Oreochromis niloticus: one gene and its partners. The protein of the gene in region 1 binds, or shares a complex with, the protein of each later gene. Links are inferred from orthologs where the notes say so. Each region holds a gene or a part of one and is shown in the gene's direction. Other genes may lie near its edges. The genes, in order: mta2, cdk2ap1, chd5 and cdk2ap2.

Region 1 (7,215 bases):
TCAGTATGGATACACTTCTTTATTAATCCTATGACAAACTGACAGAAATAGAAACGGACAAACAACACATAACGAAACTTAAGCTCCAAACTAAAAGAAAGGTTAGGAAGCATTGATCTGTGGCTTCCTGTACAGTAGATGGAGAATTTAGCCATGTGCATTCCAGTGTGTTCTTTTCTCTGACTCTCCACCTGTCTGCCTGTATCCTGCTGATCCTCCTCCACCCCCTGTAACACTGACAGGTGGATGGTCCTTGACCTGCTGACCAGGGAGGTAGTTTCTGAATCCACTGACGGGAATGAGCAGCTGTCTGTCATGAGATATTCACCAGGTCAGTCAGTAACTCCTCCTCCTATCTTAACTGTAGATGTGACAGATTAGGGTGGTGTTCACATCCAACCACGTGGTCATGGAGTTGGAGTTAATGATCTCCTTCACACAAAAAACATGCAGTAAACTTTGAGTTAAAGCTTAAAACTATTTTCACAGATAAAAGATTTTTTTCTTGTTTTGTTTTTTGTTTAAAATTTTCATTCTCCGAAGCCAAATAAATTATAGTCATAAAAAATGCGCAGTCATAGTTTATGAGTTATTTGTGCATTGATTTTGTTTATTTGCCAAAGTAGACAGAGAGACAGGAAACGAATAGAGAGGGTACCACGTACCAAAGTTTCACAGTGGGAATCCTCTTTGACTGTGAGGGACCGCTTGCTTTTCAGATGGCAGCTTCCTAGCTGTTGGATCACATGACAACTTCATCTACATCTACAGTGTGACAGAGAGTGGCAGGCGTTACACCCGCTTTGGAAAATGTAATGTGAGTTAAACTTTAAATTATTTCTTCTTGGTTAACATCTCCATCAAATATGAGCCTGCTCTAGTGCTGTATTTTCCTTCTTGTCAATAAATCTTGTGTACAGACTTCCATTGTTGTCCACATATTATTACAAATCACACTGATCAGTGGAATGACCGTTACCTTCACAGCACAGAATCAGCTTTAGTGAAGGTTACAAATGATCTTCTTATGGCCTCTGACAGTGGACTCATCTCTGTGTTAGACCTCAGTGCAGCGTTCGATACTTTTGACCACAATATTTTATAACAGCGATTAGAACATGCTGTAGGTATTACAGGTACTGCGCTGCAGTGGTTTGTATCATATCTATCTAATAGACTCCAGTTTGTGCATGTAAATGGAGAGTCCTCTTCACACACTGAGGTTAATTATGGTGTTCCACAGGGTTCAGTGCTAGGACCAATTCTGTTTACATTATACATGCTTCCCCTAGGCAGCATCATTAGAAGACATAGCATACATTTTCACTGCTATGCAGATGACAGTCAGCTCTGTCTGTCCATGAAGCCAGATAACACACACCAATTAGTTAAACTGCAGGAATGTCTTAGAGGCCATCCAGGTCTTTGTCTTTAACTTTCTGCTTATAAATTCAGATCAAACTGAGGATATTGTACTCGGCCCTGAAAATTGTAGCAGTATGCTATCTAACATCTGTTAAAAATAGTTCATGTATTTGTTACTTTTAGGCTGGTCCACTGTAATTTCTTATTGCTATTATTATACTCATGCTAGACATTAGAAAGAATGCCGTTTAAATGCACTTGAACATTAACTTCACTTTTAATGACCTGGAAATCTTTCATATGCAACGTGTGGTATGGAGCTTGCAAACACGGAGATTAATGCCAAAGACGTTTATGGAGTTTTCTGATGAAAATCCAGAATAAAAGCTTTGCTTGCTTTAGCTAATATGACTGACACTCTGTCTGCTTATCTGTTCGATCAGGGCCACTCCAGCTTCATCACTCACCTGGACTGGTCCAAAGATGGGAAGTACATCATGTCAAATTCAGGCGACTATGAGATCCTTTACTGTAAGTGAACATCCAGCACTGTGCTTTTAGTGCTGTTATAGGAATGCCATGCAGTACGTTCTTTAGCTTAGTGACTGTGTTTTAACAGGGGACATAGCAGCAGGATGTAAGCTGCTGAGGAACCGCTTTGAGAGCAAAGACAGAGAATGGGCCTCTTATACCTGTGTGCTAGGCTTCCACGTGATGGGTGAGAAACTCCAAGCAAAATGCTGTTGTCCTCCTTTAGCATTGCATTAACGTCATGGAGTTCTTTTATCCAATCAGACTGATGAGTGTGGTACTGTGGTGTTCAGGTGTGTGGCTGGAAGGCTCTGACGGCACAGACATCAACGCGCTGTGTCGCTCCCACAACGAGAAGATGGTGGCTGTGGCTGATGATTTCTGTAAGGTTCATCTGTTCCAGTACCCCTGTCCTAAACTCAAGGTAACTATTTTCTTTTTTAAATAAGAACCAAATGATGAAAGTGAGCCAGTTTTAAGAGTTAGAAACAGTTAAACCGTTTGCCAAAGTCAGTCCAGCTCAAGCAGATCAGATAACCCACGTTAACGGTTTTGTACACAGTTGTATTCGTTCATTAAAGCAGTGTTCAGATGACACACGGATTGATTTAATAAGCTGCTCAGTTTTCAAGAGCAGGTCACATCTTCTAAGACCCTGAGCCCGCTGTGTTTGTAGTGCTGTCACTACAGTTGTGGGACATTCAGTCCAGATTCAGCATTAACAGTAGGAACCTTGTAGAAAGGTGTTTATCCTAGTCTGGAAAGACAAATTGGGGGGCGGGGGACTGGGATATGATGGGCCTTCCTCTGCGCTGACCCAAAGTGGACCTGCTTCTTTTCTCTTCAGGCACCAAGCCACAAGTACGAGGGCCACGGCAGCCACGTCACCAACGTCTGCTTCACTCACAGTGACTCTCACCTGCTCTCCATTGGCGGGAAGGACACTTGCATCCTTCAGTGGAAGGTGATTGGAGGTGGGGTGGGTAACAGCCAGGAAAGACTGGCCTCGGCCTCATCCACCTCTACCAGCTCTCCAGAACCTGCAACCAGCTAGGGAGACGGCTGCTTATAAGAGTGAGGGAAAGCAGGCTGTTTTCTTACAGCCGCAGAGGCATCGAAGTGAGTTATGGGCTCAGTATATCCTCTGGACTGACACTGCTGCTAGTTTCATGCAGAACATCCTCTTCAGGAGGAACATCCATGTTAATGTTATGCTTTAAATCCTTGTGAAACTGGACAGTGTGTGTGATGTTTCCCATAAGACAGAATCCTCGTCATTCTGTTGTGTATGTGGTGAGAACTGTTCTTGTTTGATTGCTGGTGCAGAACAGTGCTGCACTGCCATAGTGCCTGTGCACGTGATTTTATACATGTTTTAAACAAGGTTTGGTTAAAATCTCAACTTTTTATATGCTTAGACTGTGACAGGCCTGTCCCATTAAAATCAACTCAGCATCTCTTACTAATTCATTTCTCTAACAGTAGATCAGTACACTTGAAAATTATTACTTTAGTGCAGTTTTGTATGTATTTAAATGAACGTCGGCAATACTGTGATGTCGTATCAGCTGAGCTCCAAATAAATGAGAGAAGACTCAGAGGTGTGTTGTGTGTGAAGTGTCACTAGTGGGCAGTGCCACTCCAGAACCTGTGAGTGTGTTCCTAAATAACAGGTCTCAGGTGAGAACACTTAGGACTGAAGTCTCAACAAATGTGTTTTCATTGAAGACAGCAGTAAAGTCTGTGGTGCCCTCCGGTTGGGATGCAGTAAAGGTACATGGTTTAAGGTGGAAAATATAAAATTAATTGAATAAAATGAATTCAATCATTAACTGCCTTTAGGTGTGATGCTTCAGTAAACTGATTTGCTCTCCAACACTGCCATCTATTGCACTACCAGCAGCCTGTACAAGAAAAACATAACTGTTTATAATACTTGTATCTCCTTTTTAACAGCTTCCGTCCATTCAAAATTTGACCTATTTGGGGCACATTTGCTGCCATCATTACACTGACTGGTCTGTATATTCTCTGAATTTGCAATATTAAAGCCTGTGTTTGTGTGTAAATCTTGTAAATAAGCGTTTGTTTCCGGTAAGCATCCTGCGACACTTTTTAAACTACAAGCAGTAAAGTAAGTTTAGCGTGTCGTTCATTTCATAAAACAGACGGTCTGTGTCACTAAACCAGCGCCGGTGAACAAGTTGACTGTGAGACGTCGGTGATTGTCGACAAAATCCGAAGTTGACGATTTGTACACGAGCGGGGGGGGGGGGGGCTGTGTGTGTGTGTGTGTGTGTTTGTCTCTGTGTGTGCGCGCGCGCTGAACTGAGCGGAGGTGAAGAAGAGGAGGATGAAGCTGGGAGCGGAGGATGGGAGGAAGAGTGGAGTAAGAGACAGGCTAGCTGTATGTGAATAAGTGAGTGAAGAAGAGGAGAGGAAGGTCGCCAGAGAGAGAAAATATAAACTTCTATTTTTGGAGATAATTGCCGGAGCGTCGCCAGCGGAAACTTTCAACTTTTTACCCGCCACTGCTCTCTTGTTGTACCCAGAGCCGGCTTTGTTTCGCGGCGGGGGTGTTGACGATAAATGAAGGAATAAAATAGACTCCCATCGACCTGTTTCTACCCAAGCGGGGAATACCCTGGGACTGCTTCTGATAAAGGTTACGAGAGAATGGCGGCCAACATGTACCGAGTGGGAGGTAAGGAATGGTTTACATTTTTAAGACACCCCTTCAACGTGATTGTTCGCTTCTACTGGGAGCTGGCTAACTAGCCGCTAGCTGTCTCTGCTGTTAGCAGCTAGCTAAAGCTAGCGTACGCTGCGCGACTCCGGGCTTTCATCAAGACCGTCAGATCTGCCGAAACAATGTAGTATGACTTAGCTTACAGACAGACGTAAATAACTTCACATTGATTTGGTTTCCACACAGCTGTAGCCAGGTAGAGCTGCTTCTGTGTTCGGACTATAATAATACAATACATTGAGCAGTGTATATTTGTTTTAAAGTTCAACTTTCAGAACAGATCTGTGTTATATCCCAGTTAGTTCACGCCATCATAGTACCGTACCACAGGGCGGCCGTCGCACAGCATGAACCGGTTCTGAAAGTTTGTATTTATATAAATCCATCCAGCCAGCTGGATCCAGGAGATCCAAACATATGTGGTGGTTATAGATAAGCGAAATAACAGTAAATTGTCCAATTCTCTGACGTGTAGTCTATACATTTGATAACGTCCTCAAAATGAACACAATGCTAGCTAGCATTAGCTGCTGGCTGTTGAGAAGTAAGCATCTAGCTAAATTTGGTGACGTCTGTGATGGCTTGCTAACACCGCTCTGCTAGCTGTGTCAGGCTGGTAGGTTAATTTCATTATCGCCTCCGCCATATCACTAGATGTGCTAATTCTGGCTGCTAAGTCCTGTTAGCTTGGCGTAATAGCGGTACTACCAGAGCTTAGTTAAAATTGTGTTAAGAATTTAGTTTACAGACTGTGGACAGTTATATTGGAACACCTGCAAGTGAACGACTGAATTTGTACCAAGTTAAGTGGTAATAAGTCGTTAAGTTCTCGTTTGTTAAAAATGTTTTATCAGTACTTCATGACTGCAAAGGAAACTGGTATGTCGGCGGTATTAATCAGGTAATTAGTCATTAATATTATCTTTCGCAGCCCCCCGCGACACCAGTGGCAGGCATTTATAAGATGCAGTTCATTTGGAGTTTGCTTTGCACCGTCAGAAAATAAACTAAACTATGGTTCATACAAAGCAAGCTGCTGTTTTCTACTGTTAGTTTTCCAGTCGGATCATCTGGACAGTTGATTCTGGGCTTCAGTGTTGATTGTGAAACATTTTCAGTGCTAAGCCTCGGAGACGGTGCTAGCTACGGGTGGACTGAAAATCTTTGAGTGGGGGGAAGGCTAATCGCAGTCTCACGAGTGTGTGGGGTATTTAGGTCATAGCGATTAAACTATGCTCTGCAAAACATGCTGCATATTTCTGCGCTTAATGTTTGAACAGTTAAAGTGGGGTTTTTTTTCCCCATTAACTTCTTATCACTTACCCGCAAAAATACACACACTTACGTGTGTTTTTGTGTGTGTGTATGTTGCATATTATTGCCGGTTTCTCTCCTCTGACTTCAGCAGTGCAGTTTCATGGATCCACGTATGTTGCTGCTAAAACACTTGACCATTCGGCTTTAGGATCACTGCTATTGTAGCTACTATTTGTGGAGAGATGTGCAGGGTTTTATTTTTGTTGAGAGCAACAGAGCGCTATGTGGAAGGAGAGCCAATTTAGAAATATCATCTAGAAAATTGTAGTAATTTTGTAAGGTGGGTTCCTAGACAAAAACCTATTGTTTGGAGCTAATTATTGGAATTTATAGAAGAGATAAAGCATCAGAAGACAAAGCTTGGCACTGATCATGCACTAGCTAAAGAGAATTGTTGACGAAGGTTTATATGGAAAATTGTCAGAAAATTAAGTGTGAAAATCAAGTGTTGATTTGAGTCACATTTGAACAAAGATGAAGTTTTCTTTCCTCAGGATGAGAATTTTTTTCTTTTACAATACTGTGTCATACGTTCTATATGTTACACATTGACAAACGTGCTTCCATCACTTTGTGGTTTGACTGTAGAGGGGCTGGAAGAGCTGCTGGATCTGTCCCAGCCACCTTGCTGGATCAAGTTTGTGCAGGGAAATAAAGGCAATAGTGTGATGCCACATACAGTGCTGCATCAATGAGCCATAAACCCAGGAACAGGATTTTTCATTGGCAAAGACTATTAAATGCATCATTATGTGTATTTTAAATCAATTATAGGGTAAAAATAAACACCTGTACAGTTGTATTTAAAAACTAAAAACTTCAGTTTAAGAGTTCAGTTTTTCTTGTCACTGAGGCTTTATAATATTTTGCATCTGGTGAACTGATCCAGCCAGCAGGGACCTTTCTGTGTGGGTACTTACTGAGTTACCCACTCTGTGATTCTAAACTGGCTGTAGCTGTGGATTGTTGTCTGTCTCTGTATTAAGCTGGTTTCATGGTCCCGCACGTATCTGTTCACATACACAATCTAGATTGGAACTACTGAATGTTGACTGGTTGACAAGTGGGCCGGAATAGAGAAGGGAGCAAAGTTTACAGGAAACGGGAGAATGGAGAAAAACGCTCCGACGGTGGTTGCAGTGACACTTTTGTTTTTGTTTCACTTCAGCTTTTTGTATGTCAGAACTTTTCTTTTCTCAGCGTGTGGCTGAAGGACATGGATTCATGGACAGTGAATAAGGCACTTTTACGGG
Region 2 (7,508 bases), on another chromosome or scaffold:
CTGAGAACCGAAGATGGGCAGAGGATAGTCGGTAAGTTAAGTGACTGCTGTACTAAAGAAGTTCATATTTTGGAAACTAGTCTCATTTTTTGGTAGAGTTGGCATCGCAGCGAAACTCCTGGTTTTATGTTTTGTGCCTTATTATTTAACAGACAGACATGTGACATGGTATTCTAACACTTAAGAGTTCCTTTTTAATTGCGGTCCTCTCAGATGTGTAGACACCCAGCTTATTCTCAGACCTTTTTTAAAATTTCTGTGTTGTTTTTAATGCAGGACTGATCATTCCGGCGAACTGTGTGTCTCCGTTAATTAACAAGCTCTCAACATCGGACCAGTGTCAGCAGCTGGCTGTGCAGGAGCAGCAGAAGCGGCAGCAGCTTCACCCTCAGAGTCTGAGCCACACACACCACACATAGTTTAGGGGCTTTAATCCCCATCTCTACCCCTTAAGTTCACATCCCTCCCTGAAGGGATCTCTCTACACTGCAGGCTCCAGGACCTTGTGCACAACCCTCACTGTTCCTGAGGGTCAGAGGTGTGGTACCAAGCTGTGGTGACACTCGGATGTAAAGCAGTGGTTGTATAGAGAAATGTTCTTTTTCTTACTCCCCCCCCCCCCAAAAAAAAAAATTGTAATCTCCAGAGACTCTTCCTTTCACCTGGAGATATTTGACAGGTGATGTATTTTCCTCTGACATTCAGAGTGAGAAGATTTGTGACTTTAAGAGAGCATGTTGATCTGAGTTATCCACTCCTCACTGATACTTTACCCTGTTTTACCCCAGAACCACCTCAGTATGAAACAGAGACTTTTTGTGGGTCTGGACCAAAAGTAGATGAAGCAAAATCTACGTTTTTTTCATAGTCAGAGGAAAGTCTCAGATGGGCATATAGTGCTTAACTACAATCACATATTAATGTATGCTAGAGACTCATTATATTAGATATTACCCAGCACTACTGCAGCGTAAGAATTTTTGTTTTTTTCTGAAGTAGAAAAAGTGATGCAGTTTACTGCAGGAAACCTTTTGCTTTTGGGGGGGCACTGTATCTGGCATATTTGCTCATGAGACGGTGAAGACCAAATATTCTTATTGTCAGGTTCCACTTCCTTCTAAAATCAGGCCAATTTCTGTTTTTGCTCATCTGTTTTTCACACAGGTCTCAGATTCCTCAAAGTTCCTTGGTTTGTTTTAATGTCTAACTTGAACATTTTGTTCCTTTTTGTCCATGTTGGAACTTGATCAGCCAGTTGTTTGTGAACGTGCCTTTGCGTGAGTACTTGGAGCTACAGCAGTTGGGCACCTTTACAAAGAAATGATTTGGTTATTTTTGCATCAGCTATCCTCTGACTTCTATCCATATATATATGGGGTGTTAAAATGTTAGAGATGATGAATATTAAGCGAACTGGGTATAATAAATACAATTTAGTCTTTATTAAAGTATTGAAACATTTAATAAATGGTTTATGGCCTTTATTGTAGCTACAAACATATGGTGTTAAGAGTTTATCTCCTCATGTGAGGGCATTTAACATTACTATACAGTGTTTCCCTTTACTATCAGAGGCTTTAAGGGGCAGGTGGTGAGAAAAATGCAGAGACCATAAATTACTGCATAGTGCAGTATAGACTCACACTGCACTGAAATGAAACAAAGCACATAAATTAGGCAACTGTAATGATTGTTTCAGTGTCATCATTTGTTCAGACGTGGCAGCATTTGAATGCTCACAAGAAGAAATATTGTAGACAAAAGTGCTAAATAATTAAAGCTACATTACAGTGCTGTGAATCAGTTGTTGAATGTTTACTTGATGCTTAAAAAATTTTTGGCAATAGAAAAATTTAGGTCACAGTTTGGGGTCGGGGAAAACTATTTAATATTGTACTCCTTTCCAATCCATTACAGCAGTTTTATTTCTTGACGTGGTCTTTAGCTGGCTGCTATTAAAACAGAGAAAATGGCAAAAAAATGGTTAGTTTTTAAAAAAGATAAAGGGTTCCTGAAAAATTGTGAAATGCATGTTGTTGACAACAGCCTTTTTCGTGTGTGCGTATGTTCAAGGTTTCACAGCAGTCTGCATCACTGTGTCCTTCTCAGTGTTTTTTTTTTTTTTTTTCTTTTGTTACTTTGATTTTTGATTTATTTTTTTTTTTTGTAAATATAAATCTGCTCAGGGGTTAAACTCATATGAAGACCCAAAACACAAGAGTTTTACAGTGTATCGCAAATGCATGATTAGAACTCAGTGGTCCTTGGACATCTTTGCTCAGTACAGTTGCTCTGTGTGTGTTTAGCTGTATTTACAGCTCGTATGTGTCAAACATCCAAACATGGTTCTCCAGTTTCTCTGCTTTCTTGAGCTTACTTGTAATTAAGGTCTGTTTGTTGTACAGTCCACTTTTTCTGTTGAGCCTGTACCACCTCAGTCATATGTTGCGTGATGCTCGACCTGCCCTGGAAGGGTCAGACCAAAGTCTGGATACGTGAGCTGTCCCAGTGGTGATAATTAAACGGAGGATGTGTTTGAATCCTAAACCTGTGGAGTGGTTACTGTTAGGTGGAACAAGAACAAATCTTTGTATCATTTGTACAGTTTGTAAAATGAGTCAAACTGAAATTGTTCATGCATCCTTTTTTTATTTTATTTTATTTTTTTTTTATGGTGGAGGGAGAACTTATTCATTAGAGCTTGCTCTCTAATTGGAAGTCTCATTTTAACTTGAATGTGCACCATGTACAGACCAACAACTCATGTTATTTTATCTTTTGGGCTGGTGGCTGACTTGGAAACTTTTTTTTTTTGTCTGTTAGTTTTTTTTTGTTTTTTTTTTAAATGCTGTCAAAATGTCATGGCAGATTTGGCTCATCTGAAGTTGAAACACTTGAAGGACTTAATTTTTTTTTTCCTTTCATTATCGCACGAGTTGCACTACTGACAAGAGTTGTACAAAAGTTCAAAATTACCTGTATATGACTGAGTGCAATGCTCAATAAAGCTTGGTATACTTCTACATTGTTGTGTGTTATAATACTAAAAAGCTACTTCATTACATTGCATATCTGGAGAATTCTATAGACTACAGTTACAGATGATTGGACTTGAATTCTTCCAGAAACATCAGTTAATCGTTTATCAAATAACAACAGCAACTAACAATTTGAGATGACAAGTGTGGTATGTTTGTTTTTTGTTTTTAATGCAGGCACTTTGTATTTTATTATTAAAGGCAGTAATGCCACTCTTAAAAGTACTCCTATAAAAAGTAAAAATACTGCATGTGAGAATGCTGCGAGGTGCTTACTCACTTTATTTATTCATTTATTTTGATGCTCAAAGTACAGCTCTGTGTAGTTCATAAGTGCAGAAAAAAAAGCATTATGCATGCATATTAAAAGTGTGAGGTGTATATGAGCATTTATAGCTCTATTACTTTAGGTGTTGCTAATAAACTGGCAACTAAGTATATAATGCCATTACATATAATTCCCATACACATAAGTTAATACAAAGTGCATTAAACAAAAGCATGGTGAAATACTCCCAGAAAGGCCGTTAAGATTTTTTTATGGAGCGATTCTCCAGCTCCTTAAAATGTCAGACTATTTAAGTTTTCTAAAATAATAATAATAAAAAAAATCTATAAAAACTGCTGTCTTCTAAACCTCAAGCTTTATATGGTTGTTTTATTGATAATTTATTGATATTGATAATGAGCTCCCACTGCTTGCATTGCGCCAAGATTGCAATTACCAAAATTAGAAACATTTATTTTGAAATGATTTAACACTAAACAGTGCATTTTTCACCCTGTTACGTGCGCCTTCTTTTGGGGGGGGGGGCACAGAGCGGGCAGGGGTCCGGGTCATGACCCTGAGAGCCACGATTGGACCACACTTTTGCCTTTGTGTGGCCAACCATGTGGCCAAAAGTACTGATGGGACATGAAGAACTGAAATGACTCCTGAGCACATTTTTGAAAAACTGAAGATAAAGTCTCCGAAATAAGAGCGCCTGCTTCCAACTCCAGTTACTTTTCTTTTTAGGTAAAAGCAGACGGCTATCAGTAGTAATGGATACGACCCCTCAGACAAAGACAGGTACGCTGGTGTTCTTTCATACTTTATCTTAACCAAAAAAAAAAAAAAAAAAAAATCTATTAAAAAATTTGGGTGAGTATAAAGTTTAACCTCAAATACATGTATCCACGTCTGGTTGCCTATTCTACTTTAAAAGTCTGGTTTCTCCTTCATAATGTTGTGTAAAAAATTTAAGTTTAAAACATCTAAACACATATCACGTTTAAACACTTTTTGTTAAAAAAGTCTTTTAAAAGTGTCGTTAAAGTAAACTCAGGGATAAAGGTTGGCAAATGTGCTTAAAATGCGTGTTAAAGCGTGCGCGAATTTGGTCGCTTTGTGGTGAAATGTGCTTCTTTTAACCGTTTTCTTGATAATCCGCAGTGGATAGTAGCAATGTTAAAAAGCACAGTGGGTGTCAATATAAAGTGACGGCCATATTTGCCGGTGCCGCTGTTGTAAACAAAAAGTGAGAGACAGACGCTTCACTGAATTTCGGGTCATTTTTATTTCTTTAATTTACAATGTCTTTGGGAATGTCTTACAAACCCAATGTCCATCAGCACATTCCGGGAACTTCTGGGAACCAGGGTAAGGAAAAAACGGCGGAGAAAATCAAAGTATCCGTCTGTTAAATCGAGTGTTAAATTCGGGGTCTCGGAGAATACCTGGAGAAAGACCGTGTCTGTAGTTTTTGTCCAGTTATATATATAGGGTCAGATCCTGGGAGCTAGGCTAATTCATATCCGCCATTATTACTAATGTAAAAGAGCGCCATCCGCGATACAAGTCGGCGAAGAAACACGGTGGGGATGTGAAAGGAGTCGGCGGCGGTTCCTACAGTGTCGATATCCGTCGTCCGGGGTCGCGGTCCCGCCGGGTGGGTGCCGTTACACGGTGACAAAAATGTATCACTTATGTCTTCTTGAGCCAGCCTTGTTCCGTTTCCTCCATGATGCTCCTCGGTCGGAGCTGCCGATTGATCTGCCTCGAATTTTTTTTATGTCTCTTCGAGGACATCTCGTGTTGGAGGTTGAATATTACAGGCGAACAAAGCGACAGGGGAGCGGTGATTATGGAGGTGCATGTGCGTGGATGGAAGTGTTCAGATCCCCAGTTTCTTTATGTTACCAGCCAAAACATAAAAAATACAAAAAATCAATCTGCTCAAAGTAAAGGTATCTGTTATATAGAGAAATGTATGGAAGTAGTGGGAAGAGTTAAGAATTAAAAGAAAGAAGAAGAAGGGAAAAAAACAATAGGAATTGTCGTTCCAAGTCAAGCTAACGGTGGTGTACAGATTGTAGGTATTTGGTAAAATTGTAATTCAAAAATTCTATTAGTAACAAGGGAAATAATTTCTATTTTTAGCACATGAATAAAGTGCAAAAAATGATTTTTTTTCCCTGACTGACATTCTCTTATGAGATTGTTAATATTGATGTTTCAGTGCTTTTGCAACATTTTACCCATTTTACTTCTACTTGCTTTACTTTAGTCCAGAGGTAATGGGTCCAGACAATGACAGATATATCTAAAGGTCAATCCTTTGTTTAAACTTAAATTTCATCTCCATTTTCATAAGACTATGGCATACCAAAGATGATATCACCTATGTCCAGCATAACAATTTTTAAGTAGTTTTTATAGCTTCATAAGCTGCTGATTAGCTTTATCTTTAATAGTACTGACTAAGTTTTTAGTAGGTTTATATTAATCTACTGTACTGTAGTCTTAAACCACCTATCATTTCTTTATATTTTGCTAGGAAAATGGGAAATGGATGTAGAGATTTATTGAATCATGTGCAAACATACACGGGAATACAGTATATAATGCAAAAAGAGAGTTTATATAATTCCAACAATCTCGAAAGTCGAAGCTTTGTTCTTCAACACAGCCTTAACTCTCATAGGAGCTAGGAACATAGGAACACTGCTTCAGAGTAAGGGGGGGTCAGACTGACTGTGTTCCAGTAAATGTTTTTGTATCCAGGTATGCTCTACTCCAGTGGCAGTGTGTTTGGGAACATTATCATGGTGAAAAATGAAACGTTTGCATAGTGGATCAAAATCTGACGGTACTTTTCTCCGTTCACAGTCCATTAATTTTGACAAGAGCCCCAACATCACTGGCTAAAATGCAGCCCCAAACCATGACAGAGCTTTCATCCTGTTTTATAGATGGCTGTAGCGCTCTCCTGACCTTCTCGGTACACAAACTAAAAATTTGAACTCCCTGTTGCTGGTGATTTTCAGCCCAGTTCTTGTGTAACTTGGCATACTTGAGCTTTTCCCCCCAGTTTCCCTTCCTTAAGAACAGCTTCTTGACAGCTACGCTTCAGCTGAGCCTGTTTCTGATGAGGCTTTGGTGAATAGTAGGTGGATCACCTGAAGGGCCAGATGCATCTCTCCTGTGACAGATTTTTTTTTTTTTTCCTTTTTCTTAAACACATGACATTCAGATAAGATAACCCAGGCCTAAAGATAGCTCTTTAGGCCTTTGCTCCACTTTTGTCCTCTAAGTTCTCCATATTGGTGTAAATATACTCTATTATACCTGACAAACTGTGTTATTGTTGGCATTTTTCATAGTCATCAAAGATGTTTACTTCTGCAGCAGGCTGCTGGTAAAAAAGTGCCTCAAGACAGAATTTAAATTGGTTCTTTGCTAAGTTCTCTGTCATGTAGTAACAAAACTCCTTGATAATTTAAGTTTTGTGCCTTTTTTCGCTGCTTGAGTGATTCATAGATCAGTGTTAGGTGGCTTCACAAAGAAAAAGAACATTCCTTTGAAGGTGATAAGGTACAACGACTGGACTGAACTTTAAACAACCTTCAAAGAGAAGTATTGTTCAAGATGACTTTCAAAAATGATAAAGTCTGTCTTCTTGGAAGAAAAGTATAAAGGAATTAGAAATTACTGCTAGAAAGAGAAATGACTGCAATGAAAAGCAAAGTTCACTGGCATACTCATCTCTTTTCTTCATGTCTGAGGTCACTGAATGGGTGGTTTGATAAAAGGTTTTGAGTGTGATGACAGTAACAAGCACTGCTGCTGTTGAAACTAGAAAATCACTTCACCCCCGCCTGGGCTCACTTTCTTGCGGCGTTGTACTTTTAATGTTTTCTGTGTGTGTGTGTGTTAGAGAGGAGATACTACACCTGTGAGAAGAATAAATGCTGCTTGTGGTGAATGCTGTAGCATATTTCATTCCCACACATGTTCCTAAAAACATTTTACAGTGTATGCATCTTTTCTTTAACTGTAATGTGAAACATACGCACTGTCAAGCCCTGCACCATCAGCATCACCTCCCTGCTGTTTCCCACAACACAAACACTGAAGAGCCTAACATGCTTCCTTTGTGAAACTGCTGACTATAAGAAAAAAAACGGCTTTACTGCTCTGATAATACA
Region 3 (7,514 bases), on another chromosome or scaffold:
TATTGATAACCTGCATAACACTATTACATTACTATTACTATTTATAATATAATAATAATAATGGTAGAATATCTTTTATTATTTTCTTTTATAATTCATTATGCTAGTTAGGTTATTACATATGTGTTTGATGTTATTCAACTTTTCTAAAAAAATGTATCTTTCCCTTTTAAAACCTATAATACTTAACTACGCACCTAACAGGAAGCTGTGTAGCTAAGTGCTAGGGTAGCGTCTCGCAGCCATCTTGAAATGCACTTTTCTGGGCAGCTATTTTAAAAAAAAATATCAAAATTAAAACATTTTTAAAAATAAATATAGTATTATTATTTTTTACTTGGCCCAACATCAAGGTTTTAAAACCCCCATTAAATCTACAAGTTATACTTTATATTAAACATTTTAGCCACGTTTCTGCTGATCCAGGAATTTTATAGTTGTAAGTGCAATAATCTCTCTATGTCTGGTTCCACTCCAGCTGACAAACTACTGATTCGCGTCTTTGTTCGCGTCTGAACAACTTTGTTCGCGTCTGAACAAAGTTAACATTTAGTGCAAGTGGCATAAACAATTTCTCGTACCTTCTTTTTTCTATGTAGTGCGACATAATCGAGTCTAGAAAAGTCGATGCGATCGATTTTGCGGCCGGCTCTTATATTTCCCGTGCAGCCTTTGCTCCTTCCCTTTTCGCTGAATTTGTCAGCCATGGCTCCGATTGTGAGTAGTAACACGACCAAATAAAAGTGCACACAGGCCACTTATTTTAGCTTGTCTTTCCATTTATAGACGTGTATATACGTGTGCACAGTAATATAGAAGAAACGAGTGTTCACGCGCGATTTTGTTTGCCTTTTTTAACGTTTCGTCTCAAACCACGTTTTGCTAACTGTTAGCGTAAGCTAGCAGCGATCGACGTGAGGGTTAACAGGGTGCATGTAAACAGTTGTTCGTGGTTTTTGCAACATTCTTTTACGATATTTACTTAAAATGCTAGTATAAAATGTCTGGAACACATTGAACACGCTGTGACTAACCGCTAATAAAGATATCTGAACACTATTGCTGCTTCCTTACGCTTCGCTTTGGGGTTTTTCCGAGTTTAAGCAACTTTCTCCATTTGTGTTAGAAGAGGCAGGTGGTTAAGAAGCCGGGTGGGAAGAAGAAGAAGCAGATCCTGAAGTTCACCCTGGACTGCACCCACCCTGTTGAGGATGGCATCATGGATGCTGCCAACTTCGTGAGTAGATCACCTCTGACAGAAATGACATCTTGTCTGGTAATCAGTGCAGCAGCTGTCAGACACAAATGCTCTGTGTCAGACACTACTGTCAAATAAGGGGCATCAATCAAAGCCCTGTATTAAGGTTCCAGTCAGTTGATATTAAAAGAAAAGAGAGAGGGAAAAAAAGACGGATGTCAGTCATATGTTCATAAGAAACTGATCTGTACGTTCATAAAGAGGCCTTCATTTCTGGTGCTTGCTGTGTGTGACTTGCTGTGTCCTCTGCACATGCAGGAGCAGTTCCTGCAGGAGCGCATCAAGGTGAACGGCAAAGCTGGAAATCTTGGTGGTGGTGTGGTGTCCATTGAGAGGAGCAAGAGTAAAATTGCTGTGAACTCTGAAGTTCCCTTCTCAAAGAGGTAAATAAAAGAAAAACAGTGCAACTATGTCATATTGTATTATTTGACTGGTCATAGTCATTTGCCATTATACCAGCAACCCTCAGTAAATGCTTTGCACAGTGCTTGCTACAAGGCCTAAAAAGACAAATGTTAAGTTTAAAGAAAATCTCTGTTGTTTGTGTGGAATAGAGAAGTATGCAGAATCCTGTTGAATATAATTTTGAGGGAAATGAAACGCATTTGACATTTCAGCCACAGTAATATTGTAATAGACTTAATGAGCAAACATGAGAAGACTCCAAACAAATATGGCTGTGTTTGGTTGTCACTTACACAGTGGTTGCAAAATTTTACTGATACTCAGCCTGAATGTGTCTTCTGACTGATCATGCTGTCTTTGTGGTTTCCCACTTATTTGAGAGCTTGTGATCTGATGTTTTTTCCAGTTGCAGCGCAAGTACATTTATCCAGTATTACATGAGCTGGTTTCACACAAGTGTGGCAATAAATACTCTGGACAGATACACCACTAGAGAGTATCTACCTTATGTGAGAAGCCAAGAAATCTCATAAAAATGCTTAAAAAACAAAAGATTTTTAGGGATCAGATAAGTTCATCATTGCTTGCCACATCGTGCAACAAGGTCCTGCTGCATCCTAATATGGGCATAACATCAAGTTTGATGTGTGTAGACATAACAATAAAAACTGACTGAATTGTAGGCTATGACACACAACTATGGTCTCTTCCTATGGTGTGTCATCTTAATGTGTACTCATGCTGCCCCAACTGCACAGTATTTTCTTCTATGCTTGAATTCATTACCTTTTTCACAAATTTTACTGCCACCTTTTTCTTTTGTGTGTGAAATTGTCATTGATCAGTGCCTAATTTCGTGTTGCATTCCTGTTGGTTGATTTAACAAAAAAAGAGGTAGGTTGTAGCATAAATTTTGTAAGGTCAGTACACACTAAGGTGTCGTTGTGTGTCAGGTACAGAAAGCAAAGTAGAATATTTATTTTTTGACCATAATGTGTACATTCTGTGTCTACAGTACCTACAGTACTAAGAAAATACAAATACCGTGTATTTAGAATGTTGGTATTGAAAGGTACCATAAGTATCGATTCTGGTGACATGTGCCTACTGTGGAGGTCTCGTCCTCTGGCAGTCAGTTCTGAAGAAACATGCCTGCTGCTTAAAGGTTCTTCTGTGAACACATGAAACAGTCTAAACACAATGAGTTTCAGAATTATTGTATTAATTGTGGATTTGTCTGAAGTTTTGTGAATATTTTAAAAAACCAAAACTAATATCTAAAAGTGAGATCTATTTGAATTTCGATTCAGATTTATTTATATAGCGCCAAATTACAACAACAGTTGCCTCAAGCACCTTCGAAACACAGATGTTATTGTGAAGTGTAGTGCTTAATGTAACTGATTAGAGTGGCACAGCCAAAATGGTTATCTTGTTATCTCGTTATATATATTTATTAGGCTGTAGCCACCACTTAATAATGATTCTAATGTTCTATTTGGACAATAAACAGTATTAACTATATAATAACCTAGATATAATAATGGTATATGTATTATACATCTGATCATTAAAGTACTTGAACTCCTTTTTAAAATTGGCTGTAGCAAAGTTGCAAAACATACATATGCCCAGCTAATCCACATGTTTTAAATGTTGGGTTATGTGGGCCTGTGTGCATTTCTGGAACTTTCCCTAACAACCTTTATGTCCACTTCATACTGTAATTGTTCAGTAAATTTTAAACACCACCACCAGAGGGGGACTGTGGCACTCTCAGTCTTAAATGAAGCATTTGATATAACCAGTGGAGATCTCCTAGGTTAGAGCTGATGCTAAAGCAAATTCATTTTGTGATCCCCACTTTTCTGCTGGTCACGTTTATGGCAAAAACCACACAGAGCTGTTTTTTGTGCATCTGGGCTACTGAGAGTTTTAACTGTTGTACGTCGTGTTTAACGATTTCTACACCTTAATATAAATCTAGAAAAACAGCAGGATTTTGCTGCTTTTCGGTACATAAATTGTGAAATTTAAGGGCAGATTGACTCACACTCTTTCTGCTCTCTGCTTCCATTTTCAGGTACTTGAAGTATCTTACCAAGAAGTATCTGAAAAAGAACAACCTCAGGGACTGGCTGCGGGTGGTAGCTAACACCAAGGAGAGCTATGAGCTGCGCTACTTCCAGATCAACCAGGATGAGGAGGAAGAGGACGAAGATTAAACCTTACGCCACTCTTAATAAAATACTTCGAGAGAAAACCCTTGATGGTCTTGTGTTTTATTTGGAAACATTTGGTTTGATTATGTTATCTGGATCCCACACAGACGATAAAAACAGAGATATGAACATGTGACTGTACACTCTGATTTCATTTAGCGTTTTTCAAAAATAATCCTCGATATTTAGATGCATGATGACAACTTTAATTGCATATAAATCTGTAATTTTTAGATTTAGGAATGTTTTCTGGTTCTTTATTCTGATGTGGGATGGTGTTTTTTTTTTTTGTCATCTGGTTATAAAAAGGTTTATTTGCATTGTGTGATTGCCCCCCATCCCCCCCTAAAGTCCTGCAGCATGTGGGATGAGCTGGGACTCTCAGCCTTTCATTTGTATATTTTGATAAAAGATAAAGTGACGCTGAAGCTGATACTTCCTCTGCTCAGCTCTCTGTGGGGCATCCTGTGATACAGCTGTGGTAACCTTGACAACAGTTAGACCACTGGCAGTCAGGACTCCTCACAGCTTGCAGTCATCAGCCTGCACTTGTGTGTGTTTTGTCAGGACAGTGTGGACGCTTGCAAGATGAAATCGAGTCAGGTGGTTGTTAGTTGGGGGTTTTATGCCTTAATTGACGTCTAAATCAACCAAAGCGTCCGTATACACAAACGGTTTGGCTTCAAAATAGAAAGCAGTGCTGTGTTTCCACCTGCAGACACACTTTGAAGTGGAGCTTGTGAGTGAATAGAGCAGCAGCTGTGCGAGAAAGTGGGAGAAGTTTCTGTCTCAATTCTCCGGACTTCCAAAAGGAAATGGACAGGCGCGGGGAGTGCATCCGTCTATTAGCAGCACACGGCGCACGATGTGCATTTTTTTGCACGCTACTAGTTGAAGTGGTAACTAGGAGAGTATGACTAACTAGTTGTGGGTGAAATTATGGGATGCATCGTCATGGCAACAGACCAGACGTCACAATCTGGGCATGTGTGTTCCATTTTTGTCTTTCTTATTTTTCAGACTGGAAGACCTGGATAGAGATCATTGGAAAATATATATATTTTTTAAAAAATTATTTTTTTTATTTTACTCTTGGAGAGAAAGCCCCATGTTCGTTGCACAGAAATAAAAAAAAAATCTTACATTTTTCACAGCGACGAATACTATTCTTTTTGGGTGAAGAAAGAGACTGTGCTGCGGCGTCTGGAGGGTTAACTTTCAGTATTCCCAGCCTAAAAGGGGTTTGGGGGCTATGAGATAAAGATGCCGGGGTCGCTGAGCAATGAAGACGAGGGACAAGACGACATGGATTTTGAAGACGATATACCAGGTGAGGGAAAGGGGAGAGGCGGGGTGTCCTTCAGATAATTTTGCGCCGCTACGCCTTGAATGCGGGGAAAAGGGCTTGTCCTGCGTTCCTGAGACCGGAGAGGAGGGGTGGGGTGCAATAAGCAGAGTCATGCTATTATTTTTTTGGACGACCTACAGTCTTAAAGGTGGCAAAGGGTTGTAGGTTTTTTTTTTAATCTCTCCCCCCACAGCTGTCCTCACATTCATCCTGATTTGGGGGCACGATGGAAACGCTGCTGCATGGTTTCTGTGGGCTGCCTTTTCTTTCACAGGCTGCATGCGTGTACAAGTGAATGGCTTTGAGTCCAAACACAAGTTTTGTTCAGAGAGCTGTTAAAAAAAACCCGTACTTTGCTCGTTTCCGTGTCAGTGTGTGCATTGGCGATTTTCTGTCCCTTTTTAGCTCGTGGATGTGCTCTTTTGTGGAAAAAAAGAAGGGGGGCTCCGGTGACAATGTGCGTGTTCATTTTGTGGATGATGCGCTGCCGTTAGCGCTCGTGATTAGGAAGCTGTTTCAACTTTAATTCTTTTTTCTCCCACTGCATGGCCGCAGAGGTGTGAAAGCCACGTGTGGGCTACAGTAAACAGAGCTTATCAAGTGTGCTCCTTTGCCTTGCGCGCTGATGACACCGGTTAGGTCACCGGCAGCCCTTCAGCTCTGGGTCGTGCGCGAACTGGAATTAACTCTAACCCACATTCTCTGCGTGCTGCTAATTCATTTCACATGGCAACTTCATACAAGAGAACCTGTGCAATAACATTCTCCAGGCTGAAAAATGAACATGTCATCAACTCTGGCAGTGAACCAGCTTTCAGTGCTCTTACAGTTTCCTCCCTTTTTTTTAAAAAAATGGTCAAGATCAAATCAAGTCACAGGGGGTTTTAAGATTCCCTAATTAATGACCATGCACAAGAAGATACTTGCCAAATTTTGGCCATTTTGTTTTCTTTTGGCTGGTAAGTTTGTTAGGTTTTCTGGCAGGTGTCAATCCTAGGGCACAGGGGAATCCCAGTCTTAGTTTTTTTGGCAGGCATGGCTGTGCTTACTTGTGACATTTACTCAAATTGCTAACTGTGTGGTCCATAATGTACACCAAGGAGCAGGCATCAGAATCTTCATCTGCGTAACACAAACCCAGTTCTGAACTGCTAATGATTGGTTTCTTGATCTAGTGATGCAGCAGCTCAGGTGATGAAGTGCCCTCTTGTTGCAGCCTGCTGAGCTGAATCCAGACATAAGATTGTCCCGTGCAGCCATTGAAGTTCCTTTTATTTTAAAGTTCTTATAGCTTGCTCCAAACATCAGATGGTTGATGTCAAGGGCAAGATTTAAAAGATCCTGCTTTGCCCTCTGCTTCACTTTCACATTACCATGTGGAAAATGTTTGTGGTTGTAAAATACACTCCAAAGCCAAAAACAAAAGTCAGAAAGGTCGGAAAGTAAGAGCCCTGCTTTGGATCAGAGAGCTAGTTTCAGTGAAGTCAAATCACCCCCCAAAAATGAGGTCAGCTGACTCCCTCAATATACTGAATGACCAGGTTTTTCCATCAGTGGTTTGTGTTCTTCCCTGATAACAAAGACATTTTCCTGGATGACAGTACCAGGATTCATTGGGTTAAAACTGAAAGAGCGATTCAATGAGCACGAGACATCATTTTCCAACAGGGACTGGCCACCGCAGAGTACAGACTTTAACCCCTCTAAGAATCTTTGGGATTTGCTAGAGAAGATTTTAGCAGACTGTCAAGCCCATCGCCAATACAAGGCATGAAAGTAACACAGCTCTAGGTGGAAATAGGTGTTGTGACATTGCATAAGCTTATTGAAATGATGCCTTGATGAATGCTGGCCATGATCAAAGCTCAAGGTGCTCAAATGAAATATGTGAGTGTGTGACTGCTTTTTATTGGCCGGTCAGTGTAGATTCAGCATGAAATGAAGCTTCTAAAATCCAATGCAATGTTTTCTCCAGCAGCAGGCCCTCCTCGTCTTAAGTGTTGCTCAAATAATGCAGTGATGCGGAATATAGAATACATGTGAAAGAAGGCACAAGACGTTTTATTTATTAAATATCTTGCTGGTGTGTCTGTTGCATTGGTATTAGGTATTGCTCGTTACAGAGTGACGAAAAGCCATTTACTGGGACACTACTTCGGTGGTTTAATTGTGAGCAGTTGTCACAGTACTGAGTTGCCAAATTACAATCCTTGCTCATTTCGCATGTGTGTTATAAAGCTCTTGAACATCTGAGGCTTTGAAGTGCTGTCACAAAAAATGA
Region 4 (7,085 bases), on another chromosome or scaffold:
TGAAAAAAAACAGATGCGTCATAAAGAAAAAGAATTATAAACGTCATATTACAATTGAAATGTACATGAGAGACAACACAACAGTGAGAATGTTTTTTCATAGTAACTGTCTTTGCTGATAGCCAAGAAAGGACCATCTTAAATAATATATTAAATAAATAATTATTAAACACAGAAATCGTGAGTCCTGATGAGGCCTATAAATCTAACACAATTAGTTTAACAAAGATTTAAATTAAAATTTAGTTTTTATTTCCACAGTTCCACTTCACAGAGGAAGTCTCATTAAAATGCATGAAATAGCAAGTTAAAGACCCACCGTATAAGACAGAACTCTACAGATCATTGGTGGCCAATCAATATTTCCTGGGACTGTTGTGGAGGGCAACTCCGATAAGCTTACAAAGAGATAAATTTAATAGCGAGCTGAATTAACTTCAGCTTATTGGTGCAGCCCTTCACAACAGTTCGACGTTCACATGTGGCCACTTGGGAAAATGTATTGCCCGCCCTAGGATTAGATGATCCCCTCTAAGCAGTAGAAAGGCGGCGATATTAAGGAGGAAGAACCCTCATTAGACAGGAAGAGACTTCTGTCACAGGCATCAATCCAAAGTGACCAATGGGAACAAATAAATATGATAAATATGACTGACATTGTTGTCATCAAACTGCCCAAACTTCTGCTTTGACAGAGCTGGTCATACTTGTTGATGATCAATTAATCAAGTGAATTTGATTATCGGCACCTAGCTGCTACTTATGCACTTACTTCCTATGGAAAGAAGTAAATGTGTACTTAGTTTTTAACAGGACTGGATAAAGTATTTTAGACACTTTCTTTTTCATATTCCTGTATATGTAGCCTTAAGAGTTTGCACCCAGATATACTGCAATCTAGACAGCATTTTTTTATTGGTGTTGCGTGTTTCAGCAAAACACCTATGATTTGAAAAATATGTCACAGAGGCGCTGCTCAGAAGCTGAACAGTACTGCGTATCAAGCAAGAATGGAAAAACAATTCTCTTTCTTTTCAAAATAACAGTAATTGATCCTTTCAGTTCTGAAAGGGTTACAGCGTTGTTAAAAAAAAGATGAGATGCAGCGCAATGCAACACAATGCTCCCAGCCTTCTGGAAAGGTGTTGGTGCCATTAAATTAAAAAATCTTTTTCAAAAAGCAAGAAAATACAAGGTTTCAACATTTGCAATGTTGTCTTGGTACTTTGTGTTTTCGGATACATTCAAAATGTTACTAATTAGCAAATAATTATTTTGTGTTTTCTTTTTACAATTTACACAGTGTGCAAATTTTTGTAAGGATACTAAAGTAATGTCTGTCATTACATGCAGACAGTAAAGCCTTGCTGCAAATTAGCAAAAATCATTTTCACACTGCAAATAAGTGCATTGTCAAAACAGCAATTAAGATGATAGGTGAGTTATTTGGAGCAGGTTAAAGTGATCTCTTTTCCATCCATAATTACATCTCCCACCTGTGCCAAAATGTAATGATACAGAAGTGCAAATGGGTTTTTTTGTGATATGATATGATATGATATGCCTTTATTAGTCCCACAAGGGGAAATTTCATAAGCCTGCCGACCTATTGCACGCAATGGCGGCACCATCTTACCCTCCGACCATACATACATTACACAAACATCACATGGGGAAGACAGGTCAGAGAGGTATAACAATGGAAAATGCACCACATGAGGAAAGATAAGGAGAAAAAAATAACTCCCCCCAGACTGAGCTCCAACAGGGAGATCAGTTTGAGAACAGAAAAAAAACACCTCTGCACATAGCACATGAAAAAAACTCTTAATACACCAAAGAAACACATGACAAGCAACAGGGGTGGGTAAAGGGTGAGAGACAGCCAGTGTAGACAGTACATCCGGGCCTGCAGCCTATGCGCTGGTCTCCTTGATCCACCGTCAGCATCGGAAGGGAATAAGCGTCGAAGGCGTTTGGAGGGGGGATGAGTGTATGTCTGCATGTGTATATATGTCTGTGTGTGTGTGTGTGTATGTCCAGAGTTCAGCTGAGACAGTGTCCTTCGCCCTGCCAGGCTAAGTAAACAGTCTTCCAGCCAACCCAGGTGGCCTTGCATAGAAAGGGAAGAACAGTCAAAACACAGTCGTTATCAGGGTGTTGTTGTTCAGCTCCAGCCTTGCAACCGCAGCTGGCGCCGAAGGGGTATCTGTATGAGTGATGGTGCTTTTTACTTTAGTGCGAACAGCTCATATGAATTTCCAAGCAGTTCTACAGTCCAACACTGGTCTCTCAATCTCCCGTTGGAGAGCCGCGAGCTTCGCCATACTTGCGCTCTGTGATGTTGTCATTCTTGTGCCCAAAGAGCCGATTCTGAGAACTCACGACAGTGTGCCTCCCCGAGATGTCATCCAATTTACGCTCAGAGATGTTGTGCCGAGCGAGCCCTTCCGAGATGTAATCCAGTCTGCACTCAGAGATCTTATTCTGAGTATTCACGGCAGCCGTAAGCCTTTCTAAGATCTTATCCATGCTGCACTCAATGAGCCCATTTTGAGAAACTCACGCCTCTTCCCATCGTTTCAATCCCAGCGGGCGGCCTTGCTGTTTGAACAGCCGGTTCCGCTTCCTTAGTTCTCCGGTAAGTCAGGGACAAGCCAGCTCCAATCAGCCAGAACCCTGTTACCATGGTTCCGAATAGGTAGATATCTGCCGAGATGGTTCCGAATAGGTAGCTATCTTCAGCACTCAGGCTCACCCAAGCCCAAACTTCTCGTTGAGAAAGGGGTGTCAATTGCATTCAGAGACCAGTTGATCAAATCCATAATTCTCTTTTAGGTTTTAGAGAACAGACTATGAGAGAGTGTTCTAGGGAAAAGTAATACAAAAAACACGAGACTAGACAAGGACACAAGAGGCTAAGCAGGGAAGCTAAGGGAGAGGAGGAGGAGGAGAGGAGAAAAGTGCGACCGCCTTCGTCAAGAGCAAGAGCACTGTGCTGCAGTGTTTGGTTCCAGTACTTCAGAGGGTCAAAATGTTACAGCAGGGGCATGATGACAGTGCATCTCCACAAAATCATAGTTGTCTGTTCACTCTTTTGTAGCAGATGAGGCCAAATCTGTATGCTAAACTCAAATAGTTCCACCACCTCAGGTAATGTAAATTAAATAAATAACCTGATGAATTATTATACCTCTTTTAAGGTCCTTGTAGTTTACCTTAGTATTCTGACTTCATGCTCCAACTCCCATATTTCAGAGGGAATATTTGTATCTTTTTTTTTATTCCACTGAGTTTATCTGAGAACTATTACAGCATATTAGGACTTAACATCATCAACATCAAAACTTAACATCATACAGTTATCATAAGCTCAGCTCAGTTTATTTAAACTCGAATGTTGGTACTTTACTACAGGAAAACATGCTGAAGCACTTCAAAAATGACATCTTTTGTGATCCTATTCTTCTTCTTTGGCTGCTCCCCTTAAGGGGTCACTGCTGCGGCTCAACTGGCTCCATCTCACCCTGTCCCTTGCATTCTTCTCTGTCACATCAACCCTCTGATCGTTCCCTTTTTCTCCTTCAACATCCTTTGTCCAGTATATCCTTTATTCCTGCTCTGCACATGTCCAGACCTTCTCAGCCTTGATTATCTATCTATCTGAAATATGATGCCCTGGCATGAATTGTATTTTGTAATTGTAAGAAAAACATTAGCTATGTATTAATCTATCAATGGGAACAAAATTGTATCATGAGTAAAGCATTCAATCAAGTTAAGCAATTATATATTCAAATATAAAATATGGGAGTGAAAATAGAAAAACGAAGGTACATCAAGGAGTAAAATGTTCCCATTTCATATTAACTATTCAGCAATGTTTCAAAGTCTAAAAGTTCTTCCAGACTTTTTAATTATTATGTAAATGGGAAAGAATTTCTCTCCTAAATATCGTAATGTATTTATATATAACTATATCTTCCATTTGTTTCAGCGTTCGTATTTTCATTTTCGCTACGTATGACGCGGGTTTGGCGCGGTAGTAGTTTCTGGTGATGAAAACATTTAGGACATATGTCACATGTAAACCGACCAATCAAATCGCTGTAAAGATTAAAAAAACCAACAGCCCACTACCTCGTCTGCGCAGACTCAGTCACTGAGGAAGAGTCGGAGCTCGCGTCCCACAGAGGATTTCACGTCTCCTTAAAAAGGTACAAAATTGCCACTTTTTTGTATCGTTTCGGGTGTCATCGGTGGTCACAAGTTTAGTTTAACGCTATTAATATTCACTGTCTGTATTAGAATGTAAACGGCAGGCCTGTTTGGTTGGGGTTTACTTATGTTTTTGTGGTAACCGGCAAAAGCTAGCTAATCCGGCTAACCAAGTAGTAGTTAGCTTGGCAGCTTTATGTAAATGCTAACGTCAGCTTTTGTTTCATTGAGCACCTCTGAGCTCCGCTCGTGCGACTTTGAGTGACCACATTCACACACACCCAGCCTATGAAAAGCTTCATTAGAGTCGGCGTAAAACACAAAACAAGTACATTTCACAGGTTGACACATTCAGTGTAGTCTGATATTAAGCTATGGTTCTCTCCAGTCAGAGTACCATTGACAGATTAGGGAACTTGTATTGTAATTACGATGTTTTTGCTGCAAATTGTTAAATTAGAGTCCAGCGGACTCTTAGATGACCTGAGAGGGCCCATGTGGTTATCACGAGCATGGGTATGTTTTTAATGGCACTTGTTGTTTTCTGACTGAATAGGAAGATTTAATGTACTTTCCCATACAGTGCAAGCACAGAATATAAAATGTCCGCAGTGAGGACCTTGGTTTCCTGTCGGTTTTCTCATCTCTCTGCTGCAAAAGCAACCTGAATGAGAAACGTTTCCACTGACAGGTCATACATTTTGTTGTGTAATGTGTGACCTAAGGCAAACGTGCTCCAGTTTTACATTAAAAATGTTTGCGTTGCTCCCAAACACATCCAGGCCGACAAGTCTTGCTACTGCTGTTAAATAAAGGTCTATTGTGCTGATTTCCTCACCGACTGTTGTTGATGGTGATTCCTGATTATTGTGATTCACAACTTCCTTTGCTTCCTTCTATTCATGGATTGAATTGCATTTGTGTTTCTGTCTATCTTTATGCATTAGCTCTTAGGAGCTCATCATCACCTGTAAAGCTGTATAAGTATCGGGTTGACGGGACCGAAGGAAGCGGCACGTCGTACGGGGAGCTGCCTGCTGAAATCGCCATGAGTTACAAACCCATTGCTCCTGCACCATCTGGCTCCAACCACACTCCACCAGGTACTTTAGGACCAGCTTTAATGTTGTGCAGTGCCGTTATTAGCATGTTGTCAGTTTCTTGTGGTGTGTATGTATGAAACAGTTCACACTGTGACTATGGTCAACAGTCCCATTGCCTTCATAAACCAGTGCTGCCCCACACAATATTTTATCAGTCATTAACAATACAGCACAATTGTATTGGTAAACTATTTTTTAATATTTTACATTTGAAACAAAATTGCTTGTGTTTTAGGTTCAGCCTTTAATGTGTTCTCTCTCTTCTCTTCTCTTCCTCTGGCCAGGGTCTTCTGTGCCCTCTCCATCTCTTCCATCGTCGTCCAACTTCAGGCCAGCCTTCAGTGACTTTGGCCCGCCCTCCATGGGCTTTGTTCAGGTACAACAACAATTTAATTGCTCTGATACTTGAATACAGACTGCTTTAGTAAAGAGTTGTCATATTTTTACTGAAGCATAGGTCACCAAACATGGATTTTCAACCACTCTGCTTATGTCAATACTAGCCCTTAACTGAGTAAATAAACTAAAAAAAAAACTTGTGTATTCACATACTTTTCACACTCATGTCCCAGCCTGGGGTTGATTAAATTCACCTCTTTGCTATTGCTGAATTATTTCTAAAAGGTGTGATAAAAGGTCATTTTCCTTTATTTGAAGCTGCACAGAAGTTTGTTTTTGTTCCCATACATCCAGCAAAAAGAGAAGCATTAGGAGTTAAACAGTTAAGTTTAAGTAAGTTAAGTTAAAGCGTTACAACAACATACAAGAAGATACTATAGAAATGTCTATCAGTAAAGTCACTATAAGGTCGTAGAAAAAAATGTGCCTTTCTGCACTAGTTATTAGTGCTATATTGATTAAGTACAGTAAATATTGTTGGCAGTGGAAGGTGGTTACTGTTTGACTGAAGCATGTTTCATTAGCATAAATTGAAACCACTGAAAGGAACTTGATTTCAAAAGAGTTCTGAGAGGACATGGGGACATTTACATTATTGTTAGATGAGGCAGTGAATACTTAAACACTACAATACTACATCATTGCAGTGTTATAATTACTTCATCATCGTTACATCTGCTGTAAAAAACAAACTGACATATTTTTCATCTCATTCTTAAAAAGAAAAAAAATCTACATTTTTCATTCATGTCTGGCGTGTATGTGGAACTGTGAAATGACTAACGTTTTTTACTACTTTCCCAAACAGCCTGTGAAAGTGTCCCAAGGGTCCACCTACAGTGAGCTCCTGTCTGTCATTGAGGAGATGAGCCGTGAGATCAGGCCCACATACGCAGGGAGCAAGAGCGCTATGGAGAGGCTAAAGAGAGGTATGTTTTAGTAGTCAAAAGTGCATATCAGTAGGATTCAGATCATTGTTGTTGTTGTTGTTGCGTTTTTTTGGGGGGGGGAAAGTTTTTTTTTAATGCATCTATTATGCAAATCAGAGGAAGACTGGTGAACTTTTCACTTTTCTTAGCTCTTTGGTGCATGTGGATTTCACACAGCTTATTCTGAAAATGGTTATTTACTTGCTGCAGTAACAGTGCTCTGTTATTATCCTTTTATATAAAAAAATTGTCTCCGACTCCAGCTGAAGACTTAAAGCCCAATATCCACATTTATAAGAAAGTTGCCAGGTAAAGCCCCCCATGAAAGCTGGAATAACTAATCACAGTCAGTTATCCATTAAGACACATTTCTCAAAGTGTGGGGCACAGTGAAGAATTTAGTGAAACTGAGTTGCATACATGCATTTAAAAGACA

What was found.
Region 2: mta2 (region 1) and cdk2ap1 share a complex: the UniProt entries of both Homo sapiens proteins name them as parts of the nucleosome remodeling and deacetylase (NuRD) repressor complex. The link is inferred for Oreochromis niloticus from reciprocal best matches to the Homo sapiens genes MTA2 and CDK2AP1.
Region 3: mta2 (region 1) and chd5 share a complex: the UniProt entries of both Homo sapiens proteins name them as parts of the nucleosome remodeling and deacetylase (NuRD) repressor complex. The link is inferred for Oreochromis niloticus from reciprocal best matches to the Homo sapiens genes MTA2 and CHD5.
Region 4: mta2 (region 1) and cdk2ap2 share a complex: the UniProt entries of both Homo sapiens proteins name them as parts of the nucleosome remodeling and deacetylase (NuRD) repressor complex. The link is inferred for Oreochromis niloticus from reciprocal best matches to the Homo sapiens genes MTA2 and CDK2AP2.

Annotation. Positions count from the first base shown.
Region 1 is NC_031967.2:3,171,842-3,179,056, reverse strand, and holds the start of mta2 (metastasis-associated protein MTA2), read left to right. Parts: upstream 1-4,196; 5' UTR 4,197-4,572; coding exon 4,573-4,600; intron 4,601-7,215. Other genes in the region: eml3 (echinoderm microtubule-associated protein-like 3), read left to right, coding at 243-331, 720-817, 1,809-1,896, 1,985-2,083, 2,190-2,320, 2,744-2,950. UniProt on the Homo sapiens protein: May function as a transcriptional coregulator. Acts as a component of the histone deacetylase NuRD complex which participates in the remodeling of chromatin.
Region 2 is NC_031972.2:11,489,437-11,496,944, forward strand, and holds the start of cdk2ap1 (cyclin-dependent kinase 2-associated protein 1), read left to right. Parts: upstream 1-4,485; 5' UTR 4,486-4,613; coding exon 4,614-4,680; intron 4,681-7,508. Other genes in the region: sbno1 (protein strawberry notch homolog 1), read left to right, coding at 1-31, 277-419. UniProt on the Homo sapiens protein: Inhibitor of cyclin-dependent kinase CDK2. Also acts as a component of the histone deacetylase NuRD complex which participates in the remodeling of chromatin.
Region 3 is NC_031970.2:11,663,417-11,670,930, reverse strand, and holds the start of chd5 (chromodomain-helicase-DNA-binding protein 5), read left to right. Parts: upstream 1-4,495; 5' UTR 4,496-5,148; coding exon 5,149-5,215; intron 5,216-7,514. Other genes in the region: rnf207a (RING finger protein 207), read right to left, coding at 582-707; rpl22 (large ribosomal subunit protein eL22), read left to right, coding at 706-717, 1,130-1,237, 1,517-1,641, 3,747-3,888. UniProt on the Homo sapiens protein: ATP-dependent chromatin-remodeling factor that binds DNA through histones and regulates gene transcription. May specifically recognize and bind trimethylated 'Lys-27' (H3K27me3) and non-methylated 'Lys-4' of histone H3.
Region 4 is NC_031971.2:21,309,295-21,316,379, reverse strand, and holds the start of cdk2ap2 (cyclin-dependent kinase 2-associated protein 2), read left to right. Parts: upstream 1-4,069; 5' UTR 4,070-4,217; intron 4,218-5,165; 5' UTR 5,166-5,266; coding exon 5,267-5,321; intron 5,322-5,605; coding exon 5,606-5,697; intron 5,698-6,528; coding exon 6,529-6,649; intron 6,650-7,085. UniProt on the Homo sapiens protein: Acts as a component of the histone deacetylase NuRD complex which participates in the remodeling of chromatin.